Tamandua tetradactyla: one gene and its partners. The protein of the gene in region 1 purifies or fractionates together with the protein of each later gene. This does not show direct contact. Links are inferred from orthologs where the notes say so. Each region holds a gene or a part of one and is shown on either strand. Other genes may lie near its edges.

Region 1 (8,035 bases):
AAATGTGTTTCAAAAGACAAGACAAGACATCCAACAAGCTAATACCACACACAACCTCTAAGGAAAGGAAAGTGCCTGGCAAGTAATACAAAATAGAAGCTCAAACATATTAATCCACTGTAGAATTATCAAAACTTCATCTATTACAAACTCTCACCTACTAGCAATCATGTATCCAACCAGTCTTTGAGGAGCACCTGCTATGTGTAAGACACTGTAATAGAAGCTGTAGGGGATACAGGATGGACACCTAACCTTAAAGAGTTAATAATTTTATACAGAGTTAGGACAAGCATACAAAGGTTGACTGCAAGAATCATAAAGAAAAAGAACTGAGGGATGCAGTGGTAGAATTCTCACCTGTCATGTGGGAGACCCATGTTTGATTAACGGCCCATGCACCACCCCTCCAAAAAAAAAAAAAAGTTGTGAACAAAACTCCCTATGATATACATATCACATATCTGCTTCTCTGTGTGTATGTATAGAAAAGAAATATATGTATATAGGGAGACACATTTAAAAAAGAAAACGTATCGTAAATACAGATTTTTTTTAAAAGAAAACCTAACCACAAACTGTAATTTAAAACAATAAATTCACAGCCACCAATCCTAAATACTCTTTACTAGGCCTTCAAATGGGATTTAAAGTTAGCTGAACTGCCCTGTCACAATGCCATCACTCTGTCTAATCTGGAAAAACGTCTTCCAATAGTGCAATTCAGTTTGTATGTGGTTCATTCAAATCCGGACTCTGGGTAGAAAGAAAATCAACATGCGATTTCTTAAAGTAAAAACTATCACAATAAAAGATGTACTAAAATTAAGTAGGCAAGAAATGAAAAATTACCTGCAGTCCTTACATACAAAAGACATAAATACTTGACATTATTTTATTCATTTCCTTCATTCTCCTGCTTGCTCCCCATCAAAAAAGACAGATATTCCCATTGTTAAGCAAAATAAATTACCTTTTTCCATTAGATGTTGAGATAACCTCAATGAGTTTACATCTGACTTAACGCTTACATCTGACACTCCTCAACAATTATTTAGCCATTTATTAAAAAAATGGAAACATTTAAGTTTAATCACTTCTACTCTAGTGTTTCTTTTAAAAACAGATGACACACCTTAATTACTTTTCTACGTTCCTCATATGTCCTCATAAATTTTACTTTGTAAAATGCTCTTAAAACTAGGATCTAATTTCCTTAAACTAGATAAACAAAAATATAATGAAAAGGGAGAAACTCTTGTAGGTTTTTGCTACAAACTACGTTGGGTTTTTTTTTCACAATTTAGTAATCTGCAACTACGTTATTTAATACAAAGCAGCAATTGTGTGTCTGCATGTTTTAACAAAATGCATTTTAGCACCAGCCTACAGAAACTCTGTGAGAAAACAGGGGAGGAGTCACCATAGAGAAGCTCAATACAGATCCAGGGTGGAGTTTTATTCAGAAATAAAGCGAAAAGAAAAGGTCACTTTATAATAAATCCCTCGATATATCTGCTTTGAGAGTTTCAAGTTGGTTCAAAAGTTGGTCCAAAAGTTCATCTTCAGCAATGATCTGGATGATCAACTACACATTTTCTGCAACAGGTGATGGGAATCTGCATTTTCCAAAGCAAAGCAAGCAAGAACAAATTAAAAGCATGCTCCTGCAGTTTTTTACTTTTATTTTGGATTTCACCAAAATGATTTTGAATCAGGTGAATTACTAAATTTGGTTTCGTTTCACTTAGCTTTCTGCTTTGCGTTTTTTCATCAGCCATTTACCAGCAACTGTTGCACGAGCCTGTTAACACTCAAAGAATAAAAACGACATACAGGACCAGATAAGGCTTCCTTATTAACCCAACTGATCTATTTCCTTAGTACAATTTTTAAACCACACATCTAGGGGTGTGAAGGGAAGTGTGTTTTGGATGTGTGTGTGCGCGCCCCATCTTAAAAACGGGATCCTTAATCCCCTTTCTAAGGAGCAGATATATAATAAATATCTACAAGAAACCACATTAGAAATGCAAAGAGGTTTGCAAAACAAGAGGCTTCTTTCATTCCAAAAAACCAAACCAAAACAAGGAGAGAAAATGAATGCAATGGATATGTGTGCCAAAGTTTCAATCCTGCCCGGTGGAGACACTGCACTGGCACCAATTGTGAAGAGAAAAAAAAGAGGGAGTGGGGGGTAGAAAGAGAGAGCGAGAGTGTGGCCTGCAAACTGCAACAATGCAATCTCCATTTTGAACAATGCGCCTCTTTCCTCTTGCAAATCTAGTTTTTTGCCACTTGATGTGCCGTCGCATTTCCCCTGTTTGGGGGGAGGTGGGGGTAGGGGGAGGCCGGAGCAGGATGCACAGTACATGAGAGGGAGTGAACAAGGGGGGGAGGGTAGGGGAGGTGGGGAAAGAGTCTGCAGCAACTGGGCTGGGTGGGTACCTGGAGTGCTGCTATAGGTGCTATGGCTCCTGAAGCTGCTTTCCGTGCAATAACTGGCGTCGTCGTCGTCGTCTTCCATCTCCTCCGGATAATCGGAATCATCGTCGTCCTCCTCCATCTCATCTTCCTCATCGTCTTCGGAATCCTGGGTTTCCTCAGCGTCGCCGTCCTCCTCCTCCTCCTCGGAGACCATGTCCTCCTCCTCCTCCTCCTCCTCGCTCTCGTGGTCATCGTACACCACTTTGTTGACGGCCCTGCGGGCCGGGGTGGTCCGGGCCAGGTGGCCGCCGCCGCCCCCGCCCCCCGTCCTGCCGCCCCCGCCTCCTCGCCCCCCCCGGCCCGGGGCGCTGGTGCTGGGGGGGGCCGGTGGCGGCGGCGGTGGCGGCGGCGGCGGCGGCGGCTTCCTCCGGCTACTGCTGCCCCCCCTGGGCGAGCTCAGCCGCGTCTTGGGCGCCACCTCAGCCTGGGCGGCGGCCCACCTGCCCCGGCTGCTGCCGCGGTGCCGCGAGCGGAGCCCCCCGATGGGTCCGGACGTGGGCGGCGGCGGCGGCGGCGGCGGCGGGGCCGGAGCGCAGCGCTCCGCAGCGGGAGCCGCGGGCTGCTTGGGCGGCCTGCCCCGCCGGCCCCTCATGTCGGAGCCGAGGCGGGGGGGAGAAGGGAAAGCGGAGGGGGGAGGGGCGGGCGGAGGGGCGGCGGTGGGGGGCGCCGGGGCCGGGTGGGGAGGCCCGCGGGGCCGGGCGGGAGGGGCCGGGCCGGCGGAAGCGGGTGGAGGGAGAAGGCTCAATCCGAATTGCTGGGGCCCCACTCCGGATCGCCTTCAGCCGCCATCTTGTTTCTTCCCTCTCGCTCGGTGACTGGGGGAACCGACAGCGGCCGCAGGCCCGGAGCACGGTCACGTGAGCTGCGCCGCCGACGAGCCTGGGACGGAGCGAGGCCGCGCGGCGGCCGCTAGGGGGAGTGCGGGAGCTCCGAGGCGGGGGCGGGGAGCCCAGGGCGCCTCTGCGCGGTGGTGCCGGAGAGAGGGGCGCCCCTGTCGGGAAATGCCCCCTGCAAAAAAAAGCGTCGGGAGATCAAAGCTTGGATGGAGTTCAGACGGACCCCAGACTTGGCAAATCCTCCTTCCCGCGGCTCCCCGCGCCCAGCGCGGAGGGGAAAGCCGGGGAGACACAAAATTCATCTGAAACTGATGCTGAGGCAGCCGGAGAGGGAGGGTGTCGCGGAGGGGGCGACCCGAGCGACCGAAGGGGACAACGCAGCGCTGGCGGCGTAGGGGAGTTAACTGGGGGCGGGAGGACGAGCCCCCAGAAATATGAAACTCCGAAGGCTTGGTTCTGGAGTGCTGAAATTGATCCCAGTGGCAACTGCTCCGGGTCGCCGCCAGGAACCACGCCCTGGGAAAGTCGCTCAGAGGCTTGTCGCGTATAATCACATCCCGGAAAGCCTCGGACAAACTCCAGAGCGCAACTACGTTCCAGTCTCCCACACCGCTTCCAGTGCCCCAACTAGAAACTCCACCACTTTAACGAGAACTTTCCTGTTTCTCGTTTACGGTAGAAAGGACGGCGTCCCTCCTGACACCTACCTCAAAGTGTTGTGTTTGCATTCTAGAGAAATCATTTTAATTTCTTTACCTCATCAGTCACCAAGTCTCAAATAGCCCAGGGAATGAATCATGCTGATGTATTTTCAGGCTCCGCTAGACCAAATCAGGGTCAGCCCTGGAGGTAAGAGAAAGGTTTTATAAACATAAGTTAATATTTATGGAAATACATTACATAGAAAAATGACAAAGAAAAATGGGGTCCGGCCACCAAATAGTTTACGAAGCAATTGGAAAAAATAGAACACAGGTAAAATGGTAATTGAAGAAATGCAAGTGCTAATTGCCAAATTTGTTCCGTACAATTTGGTTGAGTACCAAGGGTCACAAATTTATATGTCTACAGGAACCAGGTAGGTAATAAAAGTAAACAAAATGGGCTAAGTGAAGATTTTGGCAACCTGGAGTACCTGTGTTTTGTTGAAAAAGAGGGCAACTACAGAAGGCAGGCGAGATCTTAAAATTGTTCAAAGAAGGTGGAAATGTGGACTTCATATGAAATCTCTTGATTGTTGAATGTTAGCAACTAAGTCAATTTTTAAAAACACTTCAGACCAATCAAAATAGATGCAGACCAGGAATAACCCAGGGTCTACAAGTTTGTAGTCGGTATTCTGTACTATGAAAAGGACAGTTTGGGGAAGACAAACATGATAGAAATAGTGACACCTTTGGAGTTTACAATCTAGTAACCAATTTACAAAAAAATTACAATAGATGGCACAGTGAGAGCTAGTTTTGTATCACTTGGAGTTTTTAGTTGCAAGCAACAGAAATCGACTCTGGTTTATTGAAATAGAAAAGAAATTCATGAGAAGGATGTGGGCATCTCCACAATTGCCAATTCCGAGTAGAAATGGAATCGAAGTTCTCAAGCTGTTAACTTCCAGTGTCTCAGTAACAATGTGTTCCGTGAGCTATTCTGCTGTTCCATAAAGCCAGCTGTTTCTGGTTGTCAGGGTGCACTTGTTGGGCTAGTGAATCTAAACAGGCAGCCAATTTCTTTATCTCTTTAACTATAAAGTTAATTCCTTGATCAGATGCCATGATGCATAAGATATCACGATGGTGAATAAGGTATTCAATAAGTCCATATAGGGTGATGGGAAAAGTTTGACTGACAGGAAGAGAAACCTAAACTCAGTATAACCTCTTCTCAGTGTGTCTCCCTTACTGGCCCCTCCACGATAGAAAGAGTTCATTATATTGATTTCTTCTAACATGAGTACTCAACAGTGGCAATAGCCAGGTCAGCCTTGCAGAAAGGAAGTGTTGTATTGAACACAGCACAACCTGAGTTGTGGCTTCCATGGCCTCTTTGTTCAGGACTCTGGTCCTGAACAGACAAGCACTGGTTTGACTAGGGAAGAGGCTTGATGTACATTCACAGGGCGGATCTCCTCATCTACCAACTTATTAAAGCTTCCTTAGTAGTGTGGGCATTTTGATAAGCATTCATATGAGACACAAAAACTCTCGCTCTCTAAATCTTTTCTGAGAGATTCATTTATGTCCTGTCTCTCAAACTGCCTTGTCCCCAATCCGCTCAGTCCCTAACTACTTAGCCAAAGAGAAACTGTCCTCAAATTCATGTAGCGTCTTCCTTTTTTTAGGCGAAGAGAATCACAAGAAGTACAATTCAAAGTTTTGCCCACTAAGAAGATTTCCTTTTGCTACCATCCAAGACCATTTGCAAGTATAGTTAAAACACCTTAGCTGTCCACTTCCAGCTGATACCATTTGTGAAACAGTCTCAAATGGTGTTTTTCCTTGTCATCTGGTCATGGGGATCCTTCCACAAGACTATGGTTGCGGGGTGTGGTGGTGGTGAGATGGGAGTAAACACACTGGGGCTTACACTCCTAGGCCTTCTCTGGAACCTGCTCTGGCCTGCTTTTCTATACCATGCTAGAATGCTACTAGCATGGGATGGGAGTGCTACTGGGCACTTTTTGGCTAAGTGGGACAGATAATTCATGATAAGCAGCACAGGTTAACATGGTCTCATAGTACACCCGTAGTCAGGCTTTTGACCGCAGGGCCTATGAGTAGAGTCAGAGCAGCTTCCAAAAAGGAAACTATTTATCAGCTGAAGAGAGCAAGACTTTGCTCCAAAATCCTAAGCATTGCTATAGTGATGCTCCTTTTAGAGCTTTCCATGGGCTCTGTACAGCATCCCAATATGAGGCTGTACACAAAGCACCGATAAATCCATTGGGTCATTAGGATCAATTAGCAGAGCTCCTTGCACTGCAGCCTGTAACTGATAATGAACCTACTGCTCTGGGCTGCCCTCAACGTTGGCAAGCATTCAGGCCACTTTGAAAATGGTTTAAAGCAACACATACAAATGTCTTCTAAATCCAAAGACAGCTGCCAGACATCCGGTACCATTGGCAGAAACCACGCCCTCACACAGTCCTCAAATTCCTCACACCCGTTATATGCTCACGTAGTCCACTAAAGACTTGCTTTCAATTCCAAGTGATACAGGTGATTTTGTTGAGTTGTTTTCCCACTGTTAGCTATGAGCTCTCAAAGGCTCATACCTTAATACTAGAAGTATTTTCTCTATCATCACTCTCAAAACACAGTCATAGACCAGTCCCACCCCATTTCCCCAAAAGTCCGTGGCCTGCAATCACTCTTGCACCAATTTTGTTATCAGTTGGGTTCTTAGTTGCAAGCAGCAGACACCAGCACCCCATTCTTTAAGCTCAGAGAATCTCTGAAAATCCCTGAAAACCAGGCTGTGAGGCTATGCAGTCAGGAAGTATACAAAATCAGGCTAGAGAACTGGACCTGTGAACACAGCATGACTTTGGCTCCCTGCCATGAGACCCGGCTTGCCCTGCTGACACTGCCAAACTGCAGTGGCCACTGCTTCAGAGTAGTGCTAGCTTTCAGTTAAAAGGTTGAGGTGGTATCGTTATGCCTAGGAGTTACTTCCAGAGGACCTCTTTTGTTGCTCAGATGTGACATCTCTCTCTCTAAGCCCAACTGCTAGAAAAATCATTACCACCCCCCACTCCTACATGGGCTATAATACCCAGGGGTGAAAGTCTCCCTAGCAATGTGGGATCTCCCAGGGATGAGCCTGGCCCTGGCACTGTGGGATTGACAACACCTTCCTGACCAAAATGGGGGAAAGAATTGTAACAAAATAAGGTATCAAGGGCTGAGAGTTCAAATAGAGTCAAGAGGCTATTCTGGAGACTACTCTTACATAAGCTTTGGCTAATTACCATGGTTTGCCAAACCCCAACCAACGTCATTCCTGCCAACCTTAAAGAACACCTAGGGCTCTATCTGAGATTCTGCAAAGATTCCATGCACTATGATTACTTTCCAGAAACCTACAATTTCCAAATGGGTTCCTAGACTGTATAAGTCCTGAAATCCAGAGGGGGGCAGCCTTTTAAATCATCAGCTAGTTCCATCCCCCTACCCCATATTATCAACAACTCTTTCCAATATGAAAAAGTTAGAATGGGCATAGCCCATATACCCCTAAAGATTGGGAGAAAAATCAAAGAAGAAGGATGAGTTATAACAGAGAAGATAGGATTTAACAAATGAGTATGACAACTGAATCATTATATTAATATTTCTTTTAGTCTCCAGTGTCTTGGAGCAGCTAGAAGTAAAAACCTGAAATTGTGACACTGTAACCCATACCAAACTCTGAAATCTGCTCTATAACTAATTGTTGCAGTGTGCTTTAAAATTTATTGCTTTTTATATGTATATGTTATATTTCACAATTAAAAAAAACAGCTAAGGTGGATGTGTCTGATGACAAGGTCTCCTGAGAGGAAGCCAGGAAGGTGAGTCCCTCGGCATTTCAGTTCCCTTGGTGGGATCCAGGCTTTGACTCACAATGTGGAAGATTTCTCAAACCTGGGAGGGCGTTCCAATTGCATGGAATATGACCAAGAGATAGAAGCCAGCATGCTCTAACTTGAATTTTTGAGCGACTTGGAGAGT
Region 2 (8,087 bases), on another chromosome or scaffold:
AATTGTAATTGTAATTTATACCAAACTTTGAAATCTGTTCTACAAGTAATTGTAGAGGTATGCTTTGAAATTTATTGGTTTTTGCATATATGTTATTTTTCACAATTAAAATAAAAAAAGAGTGAGAGTGTCTTTTCATAAACCTGGTGGGAAAAAATGAAGACAGATGGCAGAAAAATTTTCAGTCATTTTCTCAATATGAATTCTGCAGTTAAGGAGGAAGCCCTGTGAAGAACCAAGAACTTATTAAAGGTAAAGTGGAAAGATGAGGTATGCAGCTGGACAGTCTGAAATTTGAATTTGGTTTCAGTTACTCACTAGCTGTGGAACCTTAGACGTGTCATTTAGCCACTCCAAGCCTTAGTTTTCTCTTGTGTAAAATGGGGACAATAATATATATTTCATGGAATTATCATGAAGATTAACAAAATCATATGTAGAGACCCTAACACAGTGTCCTACACAATAGTGGGTGCTCAGAAAACAGTAGACGTGTTCTAGCCATTACCTTTTCCTTAGCATATAGAGCACCAAGGAAATTCCACATTTTTAGAATTCCACTATCATAAGTGTCTTCTATTTTGTGGGTGAGAAAGCTTACTGATAGGAACAGAACAGTTACTATCATTGTAAGCAAGATACTGTGACCACAATACTTTGAACAAGCCACTGAAGAACACTGATCAGTGGGATCACAATGTAGTTTTATGTAATACTGTGGTTTGGATGATAAATTTCAGATACAAGATAAGAGCAGGAACACTAAACCCTTGACCTTTCTTTTATGAACTTTATAAAAATATTCAATACCACCAGTGGATATATCCTCTGGTAGATATTAAACAAGTTTGGCTCCGTGAAAATGACAGTTTAACAATCTCTACAATGTTCCCAAATTGTCAAAATGGATATATTGTCCACTAGACCATGATTAATTTTGAGGTTCCAAAATATGGCCTCAAGGCTCTTTATAAAAGTTTGCTTTGTTGTGGTGATTATTATTTCTGGATTTTGAGAGGCTGTTGTATATATATAATCTGATATTTAGAGAAAAGAACAAAGCCGAACAGGTTGGGGTTAAAGTAATTCAGAACATAGGGGTAAGGAAGACCGTCTATATTTTAGAACCACACATACTCTTTGAGATCAGTGGAAGAAAGGTTTATTAGATCTGGAACTGAAATTTTCTGTAGTGCATAATCTAATTCAACCTATCTGTACAGCTCATATGAGCAACTGAAACACAGGGAGCCCAGAATAAGAGGTCCTTTCATCCTGTATAGATTATTATAATGTCTGGAAACATCCTAGAGTGTATTAATCAGATAATCAAAAAGTATTGGCAGAGTCCTCTGAGGGAGGGAGAAAAAGACTACGGAATTATTAAATCTTACAATCAGGGAATCCCCTGATACTGTGTCAAACTTTAGGGACACCCAAATCAATAGGCCATGCCCTCGATTTTGAGGCTTACTCTTGTGAAGCTTATGTAGGTAGTGGAGAAGCTTAGATGACCTATAGGCATGCCTAAGAGTTACTTCTGGAGGACCCCTATTGTTGCTCAGATGTGGCCTCAGTCTCTCTAAGCCCAACACTGCACGTGAAATCATTTCCCTCCCCTCTACGTGGGACCTGGCATCCAGGGATGAAAGTCTCCCTGGTGACATGGGAGAGGACTCCCAGGGATGAATCCAGACCTGGCACTGTGGGATCAACAATTCTATCCTTACCAAAAGGGGGAAAAGAAGTGTAATTAATAAAGTATCAGTGGCAGAGAGAGTTCAAATAGAGTCGAGAGGTAACTTGCCACTGAAATCTAGCCCAGCCTCTCCAGAACATCAGATAGTTCCATCTTCCTACCCCATATGAGTGACAGACCCTTCCAATAGCAAAATTGCCATAGCCCAAACAACCCCAATGAGAGGTATGGAAAGATCAAAGGTGATGGTGGAATTATACATAGAAGATAGGACTTAACAAATGAATATGAATGCTGAATCATTAAATTGATATCTCTTTTAGTCTCTAGTATTTTAGAGCAGCTAGAAGTAAAAACCTAAAATTGTGAAATTGTAACCCATGTCAAAGTCTGAAATCTGTTCTACAACTAATTGTTGTACTGCTTTGAAATTTATAGCTTTTTTGTATATATGTTATTGTTCACAAAAAAAGAAGAAAAAAAAGTTGATTGCGATGATAAAAAAGTATTTAAGCCTGTAGCCTCCTATATTCTGGAGCAGCTAGAAGGAAAAATATGAGAGGATTGTATAGTAGCCCATGACAAACTCTGGGATCTATCCTGTAACCACTTTTTGAAGAGTGCTTTAAAAACTATTGCTTTTTTATTTCTTTGCTTTGTATATATGTTATACTATGCATTAAAAAAAGTTTTAAAAAAAGGAAAAGTTTGCTTTGTTCAACCTCAACGGAGTAGAGCAAAGACCATTTTCATCGAAGAGACATAATTGGGTAAAGTAGTAACAGATAGAGCAAGGTGTTGAGTAGGATCAGAAACAAGTTGCCTCTTGTTGAACAAAGTCTGCAGATCATGAATTTTAGGCAGATTTGCAAATAAGGATAGCACATGCTCTGTAAATAATAGCTGTTGCCACAAGCCAAAGGGCAGTATTTACATGAGTCCTGTGGCAAGGACTATTGACTAAGCATCGACCTTTACAGCCAAATTCGTATACTTGGAAACACTTTCAGCGGTGTCATCTTGAAAAGGAAGAATCACATTATACATAAGTGGAAAATCTCCAAGACAGAAATATGTTCTGGTACCCAAATAAACTTCCAAATTCTTCTTTTGAACTTGGAACACATGTTCCCATAGAAAAGTATTATGAGGAGATGTAAGTTTCTCAGATTTCCTCACAAAAGATCATTTAACCCATGATGTCACGGAAGTACTGTATATTTGCAATGAGAAATAAGTGGAACAAAGTACCCTTGCAAGCAGGAACACATCAATACTTCAGCAAATGTTTCTTGAGTCTTTCTCCTTTGAAGCCCCAGGCAATGGAAGTAGAATTCTATCCTCCCCAGGGCTACAGTTTGGTGAAAAAGAAATCGTCCCCTGCTGTCGTGTGGAAGGGTCCTTCTTAAATGAGATGGATGAATGTATCACAGCATCTGTTTCAGCGCTTCTTGAACTTTTTCAGCAAACAACCCTTATTGACTGAGGAGATAGAATTGGTAAAGGGAAAAGGGTAGGATGCCTAACTGGAAGTCTCAAGCTTTTCTTTGGAGACACTTCCAACTCTGCAGACCACTCCTTAATATAGCTGCACATCGTAATAGAAAGAATCATGCTCTAATCATCAGTCAAGCAACTTAATTCCGTTTCATTTTTAATAAAGTTCATAGTGCAGAAATATGAGCCATTTTTATACTGAGGGTCCCTATACCCATTGGATAGTCCACGTGTGCACTCACTGCTGAAACACGTGGTGGTGGGGTCATCTAAAGTGAATGAGAGGAACGTAATGAAAGCAAAATTAGAGCAAAGTTAGCACCCCAGCCTCCCCTTTTCTCTTAATGGCACACCCCTTCAGTCACCAGTATCTTGCTCTTTGATTTTTTTTCTCTGTTCAAAACCAGTTCCTGAACAGTATCTCACACTCATGAACACTAAGGTGTAAATGAAAAATAATAGCTAAGCAGTCACAGGTGTTGTTTTTTTTTTTGTAATAGAAAGGGTGCCTTTATAAGAGCCGATTAAGTCCGAGTGGCTAACAACATTGCTCTTGGGTTCAGCTGAGTTCTTAAACTCTGTAAATCACTAGCAGGGTGATCTAGGGCAAGTCACTTAAATCTCTGAAACTGAAGAAGGGCGAAGTCATAGGTTTTTGCATATTAGGGATGCACAATTGTAAAGCAAAAAAGGAATTTAGGGTATTACCCCTAGGGAAAAAGGGATACATTTGGGGGGCAGTTGTGTGATTTCTTGCTGTTTGCAGCAATCACACATCATTTCAGACTGGTAATTTAGGGAAGTATGTTGAGGGAGTTTAATCATGGTTTTTTTTCACTTTGGAAAGTATTTGCTTCATTGTGGAAGTTGTGGATTTTGTAGTGATTGATTGGCATACTGTTTACTATATGTTTTATTATCTTTTGTCCTTAATGTCTGAAATTTGAAAGCTAGGATGTAAGTTTTCCCATTACAGATCAAAATAAATGGCAAGGAGATATAGTAATAATAATATTTAAAGCTATGTTCATGTAGTGTTGCACCTTTTACAAAATGCTTTCATATCTATGATCATATATATTATTGTTGAATTCCTACTAAATAATTACGGTGGTGCACATAGAACACGCAACCCTTCCAAAAGAATTACAGTAATTCAATCCAAATACAAGTTTTAGGTACTTATCATGTGCTATCCCAGATTCTGTGGGACTTTGCTCTTGGCCCCTAGGAGTTTTAAAATTCAGTGGTGAAGGCAAAAAAAAGGGCTTCTGCACCCTGGCCGTCCGAGGATACCAGAGTTTAAAATAAAACATACATACACACACACCCGCCCCCGACAGACGTCGCCTTGTAAGTGAATATTTGTAGCTGCAATCAAAAGATTCAAGGAATGGTTCTTTTGCAGAATTTAGGAAGGTGGGAATTGCACCACTCATCTCCGTTTAGGGACTAGGGAAAAGTCAGCCTCCAGAGGGGCTCTGAGTTTTGCAACTGGTGAGAAAACCTTTCACAGTACAGTTATAAGCAGAGGAAAAGTTCTTGGTAGCAGGGAGGGAGAACGCCTGGAGGTACAAAGAGCAGATTTGAGGGAAAGAGGATTCCTTTTGCATACATGTGCGAGGGGAGTTCAGCTGTCTGTTGGGGGCGTTTGGGAAAGAAGATTTTTAGGGGGTGGTGGGCTCTCGGTTCCCGCCTCCAACCCTGTCAGCGCAGCACACCACGCTCAGGCAACAGTTGGTTGAGCGGGGCCTGCCCGGGCTCTGGGTGGGGAGGGGGAGTCTCGCGATCGTTGAGGGGGGTGTGTGTGGAGGAAGGGGGGAGGGTGACGGGGGGGGGTAGGGCATGACGTATGGTGGGTGGACGGAAGTGGGGCAGGGTTGAGGGTTATTTAAAGAAGGGGGGTCGAGCAAAGGGGTTGGAAGCCGAGTGATTTGCCCAGTCCTGCTTCGTCTAGCGCTTTCCAGAGCAGCCACTGCCGCCGCCCAGGAGCCCTCGTCCCCTTCGCCGCCCCCCTCCCCGTCCCTGCTCCAGCGCCATGGAGCCGGACACCGCTGCTGTAGCAGCCACCGTGGCAACCGCTGATGCGACCGCCACAGTCGTGGGCAATGAGGACGAGCAGCCGAGGCCATCCACTTCTAAGGACGAGGGAGCGGTCGCCGCGGCCACCGAAGCCACCGCGTCCACTGAGAAGGGCGTGAAGAAGAAGGAGGTAAATAGGAAGGGGTGTGTGTTTGGTGAACAAATCCTGTGCCTGCCGCCTCCAAGGGGCCCAAATCCTGACCTTTCGGTGCCGACAGGTACCCGTGGAGCTCTCCCGGCCGGGGCCCGCGGGCCGGGTGGGCGCCGCGGCGGAACAGACTAGCGTTCGCTCCCTTCCCCCTTCCCTTCTCGCCGCTGGAGGGCGGGGGCGGGGTGCAGCGCCCGGTGGAGGGGCGCCCGTTATCCCGGGGCTTGGGGACTTGGGAGCCCCTGGACAGCCCCCAGACCCCTTCACATTCCCGCAACTGGGGTAACAGAGTGGGGGGGGATGGGGCTGTGCAGAAAAAAGCCTCCGCCTCCGCCTCGCCCTCTCAACTCGCTCGCTCCTTCTCCCCCCACCTTCCCGTCGGCCTCTGCCTGGGAAATCTCGGCCCTTCAATCCCACACTCGTGCAAAAAAAAAAAGGGGGGGGGGTGGTTTGCTGGGTCTTAATTTTTATTTGAATTTGAAGGTGTTGGTGGTTGGGGGAGGGGCGGAGGATAATAGGGAAGAAATGTATTTCTCGGATTGGCAATGTCGGCCCTTTGGATGGCAGAAAAAGAAAAAGAAAAAAAATCATCCCTTGTTCGTTCGGTCCCCGACGGCTGAGGCAGGGGTGTCACCCCAAGAAAACGAGTTCTCCGCGTTGTACTCTCCAAGCCAACCCCCAAACGGAGGAACCGTGGACGCTGGTTTAGGAAAATTTCCAATGTCTGCACCCCCACCCCCTCCTGCTCCGCCCCCAACGGTATAGTGTTTCACTCCAGGGCCACCCAAATGGTCTCCCAGTCGGGCCCCAAGTCTTCCAGGCCTCCGCCTCTCTCTCCTAGTGGGCGATGCTGGCTCGTGGACACACGCAGGACCCCCCCTCACCCCCTTTTTTTAACCAGGCGTCGCCAGGATGAGCTGCTGCTAACATAACTGGAGACCGCTCTGGCGCCTATTTAAAGCCAGATTCAGAAAACATGTATTATCTCTGTAATGTATATTCATATGAAATGCGTTGAAAATTGAGATTAAAAGAAAAAACATAGGATGGGGGCATATGGATTTTTGATGTATAAGTAGATTGTAGAATGGATCGTTTACGGGTGGATTTGTTTTCTATTTATGAGTTTGTTTTCCATTTATGAGTATATTGCAATAAAAATGGTAGGTAATTAAAATTATGCCTTAGAGATCGCAAGTGGCTTTGTCTGAATCATTAAATGCTATACAACCAAATGAAAAGCTTTTGAGGGAAATTAACACCTTTAGCCTTGAATTAGAAGAGTAATTTTAAATTCGGCGGTTGCTGAAGTGATATTTTTTACTGTTACAGGGTTGAGTAAACAGAAAAACAGTCGTGGTGCTAAGTGAACAACGTAGAAAACGTGCGTTTTTAGATTTGTGCGGTACTTCTATCAATAAGACAATGTTGATGATTGAAGCTGGGCCAGATACCACACATCAGTATAGATCAAATGTTGGGAAATTCAGAAATGCCTTTATTCTAAAGATGTCTTTTATTCATTCCCCAAACTGAACAAATGTCAAGTGCTAAGCTGTCTTTTCTGTGGTAGTAGAGGTTGTCGAATCTTCAGGTTGTATGCACATTTTCGAATTGTGAAAAGACTGGGAATCAATAAAAAAACTACTATATATATAATAAGCACTGAGATAATACAGATATTCATGAACTCTTGCAGCCTTCATCAGAAATTACCCTGATGGTACTTCATTTATCTACTCAGCATAGAGGAATGAGGTGTTGGAAGTTTACTATTTTAGGCCCAATATCTTTTTATTTTTAACTTTCTCCTTGAAAATCTAAATATATTGTATATTTCCTTGACTCCTTAAGTAGTGTACTAAAAGTACAGATTAACCTTTCCCTCATGACCATAAGTTGTTGCATTCGGACAATGATAAAAAGTTAACTGAGGACTAGGAGGTTTTTCCCCCTAAATTAACTAACCACCTCCCACACCGTTCTAGTATGGTATTGATTTTTAAATCGTTTTTCTGTCCCCTCCTTCAATTGTCAGGTTGTTGCTTTTGAAACACCTCACCTACTTTTATCAGAAATAATTTGTTAATATATGATAAGGGACATAGATGAAGCAAAACCATAAAATCATTTGAAACAGCAGAGAAATACATGAATTCAAAAGATGAAGCAGGAGAGGGAAATAATCAACACCTGAACCTGAACACTGAGGATTAGGGGATGCTATTATAGTGGAACACAGATTTCAGTACTGAGCTTTTGCCATTCCTTTTTCCCATTGACAAAGTGTGCCTTCTAGTAATCTCACCCACATAATTTGCTGTTGCTTTTATTCTCTGTGGTATGGGAAGCCAGATTATCAAATTTGCTAGAATTTTATGTCAAATAGGCTCTGAATGAGAGCACTTTTATTGTGAATAAAGTAGGTGAAATTTAGTAAATTGACTTGTGACATTTTGGTATTTAAAGGTAATTTCTTTACCTTCTGGTTCTGGAATTTACTGGGTTTAAGTGATGGTTGGATAACCTAACATTTAGACGTTGGAGACGGTATTTTTGGTAATGAAAACATCAACAAAAAGGTCATGATGGCCTTTAAGACAAGGCATTTTAATGACCTTGTTCTGCTCATTCTCATGGTATCTAGGATATCAGATGATA
Region 3 (7,827 bases), on another chromosome or scaffold:
ATTTCTGAGGAAGAAAATTCCCAAGTCAAGCAAAACTTGATCAGCTACCATCTGCTACTTCTGTACACTGGGCAATTTTACGAGGGTCAGATCAGCCAGAGAAAAGTTCCAGCCCCAGGAAGCACCCAATCTTCACATATCCTTAATGCCATCCTCAGTTTGTCATTGGACAATGCATTCTGACTCACCAAGTCCAGCAGCCAAAATCTTTTCCATCTCATGCCACCAAGTTGGTCCTCCTTGCTCTCTTTATGAATCTCTGAAATACAAGAGAACCATGGAAGCATATTCTGGAGAGAATATTTTTCCATCCAGGCTCAGAGAAGGCTTTGCAACCATTCCAGGTGCTTTGACATTCTGGTTCTCACCACCAACCCACTGCTGGTTAAGTTAACCTCCAGAACACAATAACCTCCCAGACAGCAACTAGCCACTTAGATTCAGCAAGTATCTGGGACTTGGGTCAGGAGACCTGAAGTCCCAGGTCTGTTACTAATTAGTCATGAGAGTTGGGTGAATTGTTAATTCTCCTAAGCCCTAGTTTGAGACATTGGAAAATAGAATAATAATAATAGAATAATAATATGTGAGGATCAAATGAGGCCATGCACATAGCGTGCTCTGCAAACATCAAAGGACAAAATGTGAGCAAGGGATTAAGATGGTTAGAATCTTAACTTTGGCAGAGCTACAATGATCAATCCTTGTCATTCTAACCAATAAACTGTCAAAGCTTGTTGCTGGAAAACCAAAGGCAATAAATGAGGCTGGGATGTAGATAACTCACTGTGTGGCCTTGGGAAAGTCATTTGTATTCTAGGGGCCTCCATTTGCCCATCTGTAAAATGAGCAGTTAGTCTAGATCAGAGTCCTGCATTCTCCAGCCCATGGCAGAGCTCAATTATCAATTGATCATAGTGCTCTTTTCCAGCTGAGTCTGAGAGTTGCTTCAGAGTCCTTTTCACTGCAGTGTTCAAGGTCATCAGTAGTTATTAGGTGTTGAATCCTGTCCCTCATAAAAGGTACATGCAGGTCCCAACTCCCTGGTCCTGTGGGTATGAACTCATTTGTAAATAGCACTTTTGAAGATGTTATTAGTTAAGGTGTGCCCAAGCTAAATGAGGGTGGGCCTTAATCTAATATGGCTGAAGTCCTTATATGCAGAGGAAATTGAATACAAGGAAAAGCAAGAAGCTGGAAGTCAAGAGAACCTAGAAGGGAAAGGAGAAAACACTACCATGTGCATTGCCATGTGGTGGAAAAGCCAAGGAACCCCAAAGATTGCTGGCCAGCCAGAAGATATTGACCCCAGAATAAAGAAAGCCTTTTAGCCTGAGAAACCATGAGCCAATCAATCCCTGTTGTTAAGCCAATGCATTCATGGATATTTGTTTTAGTAGTTGGGAAACTAAAACAATGCTCATCAATCAGTGGTAGTGGACACTTGTTTGTATCAGGATCCAACCAAGAAAAAAAAGAAGTTATTCTAAATATTTAAAATCAAAGGAATTGAATACAAGCAATTAATTACATAAATAATGCAAGAGCCAAGAACCCAAATGGGACAGAGAGGTAAACCTGAGATTACCAACAGCAGGAAGCTACTACCACCCTTAGACTGTTTCAAAGGCAAGAAGGGCTGTTGCCAAGGCTCAGGGTCAAGGTCACTAGGAAAAGCTGGAACCTTGTTGGGTCTTGCTGGCATGGGTTGGGGCCACAGAGCAGCTGCAGCTTAGAAGGCCCTCCATGGCCTGGTCCCTATTGTCTCAGAATGCACCTCCTGCCATTCCCCTGCTATGCCCCCGTCATCCAGCTGTACCATCCCCTTCCTGATTCTGGAAGACACCAAGTAAGCTCCTGCCTCAGGGCCTTCATACTCGCTGTTCCCTTTTAGAACATTAGGATGTTCTAATTCCTGAAAGCTGTCTGATTAGTTCTCTTGCTTCTCTAAGATCTCAAATGTCACCTTATCAGAGAAGATTCCCCCATCACTATTTTAAATAACAACCCTTTCCCACCTCCACTTCTTCCTGGTACTCCCTTATCCTACCAAGCATTACTTTTTTTCTATAACTTTTATCATCACCTAACATAGCATCTATTTATTTTTATTAGTATACAAATATTATTTATGTTACAGCATCTGCCCCCACCCCAACTAGATGTAAACTCCAGGAGTCAAGGACTGTAGATTTCATTCATTGATCTATCTCCAGCACCAGACAATGCCTGTAGCATGCTGTGCTTTAACGAATGAATGAATGATCCAAGACTGGGAGCAAGTTAGTAGGATCCTGTAATCAAGAGGAAGAGTGGCTGAGATGCAATGTGCCTTCAGGTTTATGGGAGGCAAAAATGAGCAGCAACCTTATATGCCCCAACCTCAGATGAGATAAAAGATGGAAGGGGACTAATGGAATTCATAAGGCATTCAAATACAAGAGTGGCACAGCTGGAGGGGACAGCTATTGTTTAAGCTTACTTAGCACCTATTCACCCATCTGCTCTGGGTTTCCCTTGAGTTTTCCCCTACACTACTTCAGGGGTTGTTTTAGTTTCCTTGGCTGCTCAAGCAAATACCATGCAATGGGTGAGCTTAATGGGGATTTATTAGCTCATTTTGAGAATAAAAGAAGTTCAAGTCCAAGTAGCATCAAGATGAGGCTTTCTTCTCAAAGACTGGCATTCTGGGGCTGGTTGCTGGCGATTTTCAGTCCTTGGCTTCTCTGTCACACTGCAGTGCACATGGCTGACTCTCCTGGCCTCTCCCTTCCCTTCAGGATTACACTGATAACCACTTCTGGCTATTCCCTCTATGGCTTTCTCTTCCATCTGAATTTCATTCTCTTATAAAGAACTCCAGTAATTAGAATTAAGACCCATCCTGACTGAAATCACTACCCTTCACTGAAGTAACCTCATCAAAAAATCCTTATAATGGGTACACACCCATAGAAATGGATGTAGTGGAAGAACATGCTGTTCTTGGCTACATACAGCGCCTCTCCACCACAGGGGGTGAGAATGTAACTTAACCTTAGCCAATCAGCTATCCCATGCCTTTGCTCATGGTGATTGGTTCCTGTTTGGACACATGATCCAACTCACACTGTAAGAGTCAATCCCAGGACTTCATCGAAAACAAATGAGAAAAATTAAACACCCTCTTGAGGGACACTGCTACAAGTAAAGATGAGGAAGCCTCGAGTTGTGGGAGTTACCACCTAGAGTCTGAGAATGGAACCAACTCAAGGGAAAGCACCACAGAGAAATGTCAAGAGGCAACTTGAGTTCCTCCCTGAAGGTACCGGACATTTCAACAACGCAAGCCAATAAGTCCCCCTTTCATAGTAAACTACTTGGAGTTGGGTTTCTGTCACTTACAACTGAAAATGTGCTGAGCAATACATCCAAAGTATTGACGAACAAAAGGGAAATAATTCTTAAGGCTCTTAAACACCTGGAAAGGAGGCCTAAAGTCAGGCAAAGTGTCCCAGACATGTAAATCCCATATTTGGGGGAGAAATTCATTGTCTAGCTTGTTGGTGAGCAAGCAGAAAGGATGCTGAAGGAAAGGAGACCATGATACTAGTCTTGTTATTTGCATTTACATTTTAGAAATAAATTCCACAACTTCCATCTCAGAATCTCACAGCTGCAGAAGGGGACAGAGCATGCGCTGACAAAAAAAAAAAAAACACTAAACTTCTAGTCCTTTTTGATCAATAATTAGCAATGTGGTCTCAGACAAATTACTTTGCTGCTTTCAGTCTCAATTTCTAAGTCTGGATAGCAAACAGTATGACTACAACATTTCCAAGCACCTATCCAATTCTAGAGTGGAAAGTCCACTGAAGCAGGGGTAACTCATCTTGATGGGGCCTAAACTACAGAAAATGCACATGTGCACAAACACATAATTTTACATATGTCATGGGGTTCACCTTTCTAGAAGACAGTCTATATAGCTAACCTCTCAATTCTGCAGTAACTTGGATACTACCTTCTGCTTGAATTCCTCCAGCGAAAGGGTCTTCACTACCTCATAAAGTACAATACTGAACCATTCCAGAAAAATAATTTCTTTATATCAAACCAAAATCTGCACACTGTAATTTCTACTTATTGGCCCAATACTCAAGAACAAATCAGAAAAAATCAGTTTTCTCCTGAACGTGACATCTCTTCATCTCTCTGAAGACCGTATTTAGCTTTTAAGTGCAAATAATTTATGGAGAGAAATGCAGATGTTTTTCATGCAAATTACTTACAGTGCTTTGCTATAAAGATATGTTCTCTCATCTCACACCAGAATGCCAAACACCCAAATGTATATGCCAAATTCCAAATAAGCTCTATTGTTATTAGTTTGCGTTACTATATAAAAACATCTTGAAGGAAACAACATAGCCTTTTGGAAAGAACACTGCATTAAAAATCAGTAGACTTGGGATAGCAACCTGCCTCCCGCTCCAACTACCTGTGTGCCCGTGGGTCAGCCACTTATCCTTTTAATTCCTCCGAGCCTGTTTGTGAACGTACCTCACAAGTACGCAGTGAGGAGTAAAAGCTATAATGTTCACAAAACTTCTAGCCCAAGCCTCGCTAGGGAGCACAGAGCAGGTTCCCAATAAATATAAGTCGCCGAGCCTTTCCCCATCCCGTGGCTCAGCAAACTCAGCATTTCATTCGATGCGCTCGGCGCTCTTTCTCGAGCGGGTTTCCCCACCCGAGCCGGAGTCTGAGCTCTGGGATCGACTGAGGCTCCCTGTCCGCTCGCGCTTTTCTCTCCTTCTCAAGATGGCGGTGGTCGGCGGCGCAGAGGCGGGATCCGGGCGAGCCGAGTGAAGGTAGCGGCGAGCGGAGCCCCCACGAGGCCGGGCTGGGCCCCCATCCGGAGGCGGCAGCGGCCCCGCCCCGCCGTCACCCGCCACTCTGGGCCCGCGACACTGCCCAAGGGACGCCCCAGGCCCCTCGCGGCCTAGCCCAAGGGTCGAACCGGGGACTGGAGTAGCGGCCGCAGCCCGCCTCTGGGATAGGGCAGAAGCGGGCCGAAGGAGGAAGGCGGGAGGGAGCTGTTCAAACGGGGAAGGCGGGAAAGCTGCGGGACCGAGAGGGGGCGTGCAGCCGCTCCGGGGGCCTGCGGGCGAGAGCTGCCCCTCCCCCTGCTCAGGCCGTCCCCGCCCCCGGGGGCGCCTTGAGGCCGCCGGAGACGCGGGAACGCACTGGTCCGAATCGTGGGTGCAACTAGGAACCCGAATGCAGTTCCTGGGGCTGTCAAGGGGAAAGGACACCGGGTACCGGGCGGCGGGAGGACTGAGTCTTCGACTGGCAGGAGAAGCTACGAGGAGTTTTCCTCTTTTCCTCTTCACATAGCTTCGTTGTACTAGCTGTTGCTGCAAAACTACTGGGAGAATCCCAGTGGTTTTCTCGTGGGGCCCATACAAATGGTGGTCCTGGGGGGCTCTTTGTATAAATAACCTGGTATTGTGTGTCTTCTTTGCGTGCGACCCAGATAGAACGTGGTTTGTAGTGGGACCCATACAGGCCCATTATACCCCAGAGCTATCACTTGTAGATTCTCTTTATTTTATATTATACAGAAGAAAGAAACACCTATCTTCCTTTTGATGGCTGAATCGGTGGCTGAGTATAGTCCTTCATAGCGGAATAAATAATAAAAAAAACTATCGGCCAAGGCTTGTCAAAATTTATATTGCTGGTTTTATGGAAATGTGTGTTGTCAGCCAATTTGTGCGGTGGTCGTGGTTCCACTAAATTACCCTGCAGTGAGAGGATTCAATCCCCAACTCAGACTGTCGAGATCTCTGCAGCTTCCAGAGCTGGCAGGGGCTGTGAGTGCTGCATAGATAGGTCCTTGGAGAGAGGGAGTGGCAAGAATTCGGAGTTGCTGTATTCTCATACTGGAGGACACCTCAACAAATATGAGAAGACATCACCTGCTCACTCCTAGAAGTAACAAAAAAAAAAAAATCACAAACTGGCAACAGTTGGATGTGCTTCTTTTACCTGCTTTGACTGGGAGTTTGAGTTCCTGAAAGGAGGGCTGGAAGAAAAGAACACAGAACCTTGGACAAGGCACTCATCCTGGACTAGACGTGGATTTCACTTACTGCCTGCTTTATGGAACTTACTTTGTTCCCTCTTTTTCAATATCCATTTACATTCTGGATGAAGAAACCTTTTAGTGATTTCTGAGGCTTGGGTTACCTCAAAAAATTACCTTCTGAAACTTTGTGTTCAGTATCTATACTTTTAATTTTTTTAATTCAGTTTGTTAATTTTTCCCTAATTAATCTGGAATTTTTTCCCTAATTTGGTAATCTGGAAAGCCTATTTCTGAACATAACTTGTTTATCTGCAAGTGGAAGAACTGCTCTGCCTCCCTTTTTGATATCCCATAGAAAAGTTCCAAAAGACCCATTTACAATTTTATACTTCATAAGTACACATTTTTATGTCATATTTCTTACTTCCATTAACAGTGTTAGTGAACTTTTACTTTTGCTGTTATTCCTTAGTACACTGAGATAGAATTGAAAACTTATCCCTACCTCTTGAAATTGACAACATTGAATTCTGTCAAATCCAAATTTGTGAAATTCAAGAGAATGGGTTTAAATATCTGTTTTACATTCGCCAACATTTAATTTAAATGGCTCTGTTTTCTAATGTGAAAATTAAACCTAATGTTTCTCATTGTTGTTAATCCCAATAGTCTTCTCCTTATCCCTGAACTCTGATTTTATCAAGGATAATATTCTAGGCCCAAAAAGAATGTCAGAGTCATCTGATCTTATATGTGTTACCTTAACTCTGCCTTTCAAGTTCCACACTATTGCTTGAAACTCCTTTATCTGATATTATCTTTATAAGTCAGCAATCACAACTAGCCTCTGAGCTGCAATAATATCCTGATTTTTGAAAACCTAGAAATTGAGGGCCCATCACTCTCCCCAAGTTGTGATGTAGTCCATTGTGTTTAATTTTAGCTTGACAAGCTCTTAGCAGCTCCAGTTCTTTTGGGAATTGGACTTGCCTAGAGATCTCTCTCATTTTTATTTATTTATAATTTATGAAATGCTCTTCAATATTTTAAAGAAAATTTTAGCAGTAGTAAGCCCAATTCTAATGAATAACACTAATACCAGCACATGTTGAGGATTGGTCTGTGCCTCTGAAGAGTGCCTAATTTTCCATTTCCTTTCACAATTATTTGAAGTAGTCAATATGAGACCTGGAATGCCTTGCCATAGTCCAGTAAGTCAGTCTTTGTATTTTTTTTTCCATACCCTCTTCAAGGTACTTATTCCTGTTTTGAGTGTTAGAGTGCTCAATTCTGTCATGTTTTGGTGTTACCAGAGGACGGCCTGCTTATAAGTCTCAGGACCTACCTTTGCTTGCATGTAGAAGTGCATTTTATTGTTGACAGATTGATGGCCACATTTATGGTATTGAAAATTTAAGTTTTTTCCCCATTATTTCTCAAATAATTCTTTGCCAAAAACTATTTGGCATGAAAAGCATTTAACTTAAAGTCTTATGTTGTGGTATTTCTTGGCATGCTCAGCCTGTGAAGACTAACATGAGCTATATATTTTTCTAATAAACTCAATATTTTGATGCCAGTAGGAGGATGTACTATTTTTAAATGAATGGGTAGAATACTCTGTGACATTTCCTTTACTCCCTCACCCCATCCTTTTTCTTGTCAGCACCACTTGGATGGAAAGGGGAAGACAGTAGTTTATCTTTGAAAATGTTTACTACTTAATGTTAGAACATGAAAAGACTTTGTTCCATTAT

What was found.
Region 2: the proteins of BPTF (region 1) and SMARCA1 purify together in Homo sapiens (affinity purification with mass spectrometry; 4 studies listed by BioGRID and IntAct, with this or other methods). This does not show direct contact. The link is inferred for Tamandua tetradactyla from reciprocal best matches to the Homo sapiens genes BPTF and SMARCA1.
Region 3: the proteins of BPTF (region 1) and HMGXB4 fractionate together in Homo sapiens (co-fractionation; 3 studies listed by BioGRID, with this or other methods). This does not show direct contact. The link is inferred for Tamandua tetradactyla from reciprocal best matches to the Homo sapiens genes BPTF and HMGXB4.

The regions. Positions count from the first base shown.
Region 1 is NC_135332.1:6,280,758-6,288,792, forward strand, and holds the start of BPTF (nucleosome-remodeling factor subunit BPTF), read right to left. Parts: upstream 3,080-8,035; coding exon 2,449-3,079; intron 1-2,448. UniProt on the Homo sapiens protein: Regulatory subunit of the ATP-dependent NURF-1 and NURF-5 ISWI chromatin remodeling complexes, which form ordered nucleosome arrays on chromatin and facilitate access to DNA during DNA-templated processes such as DNA replication, transcription, and repair.
Region 2 is NC_135353.1:34,163,641-34,171,727, forward strand, and holds the start of SMARCA1 (SWI/SNF-related matrix-associated actin-dependent regulator of chromatin subfamily A member 1), read left to right. Parts: upstream 1-5,040; 5' UTR 5,041-5,234; coding exon 5,235-5,408; intron 5,409-8,087.
Region 3 is NC_135333.1:27,623,483-27,631,309, forward strand, and holds the start of HMGXB4 (HMG domain-containing protein 4), read left to right. Parts: upstream 1-4,762; 5' UTR 4,763-4,850; intron 4,851-7,827. UniProt on the Homo sapiens protein: Negatively regulates Wnt/beta-catenin signaling during development.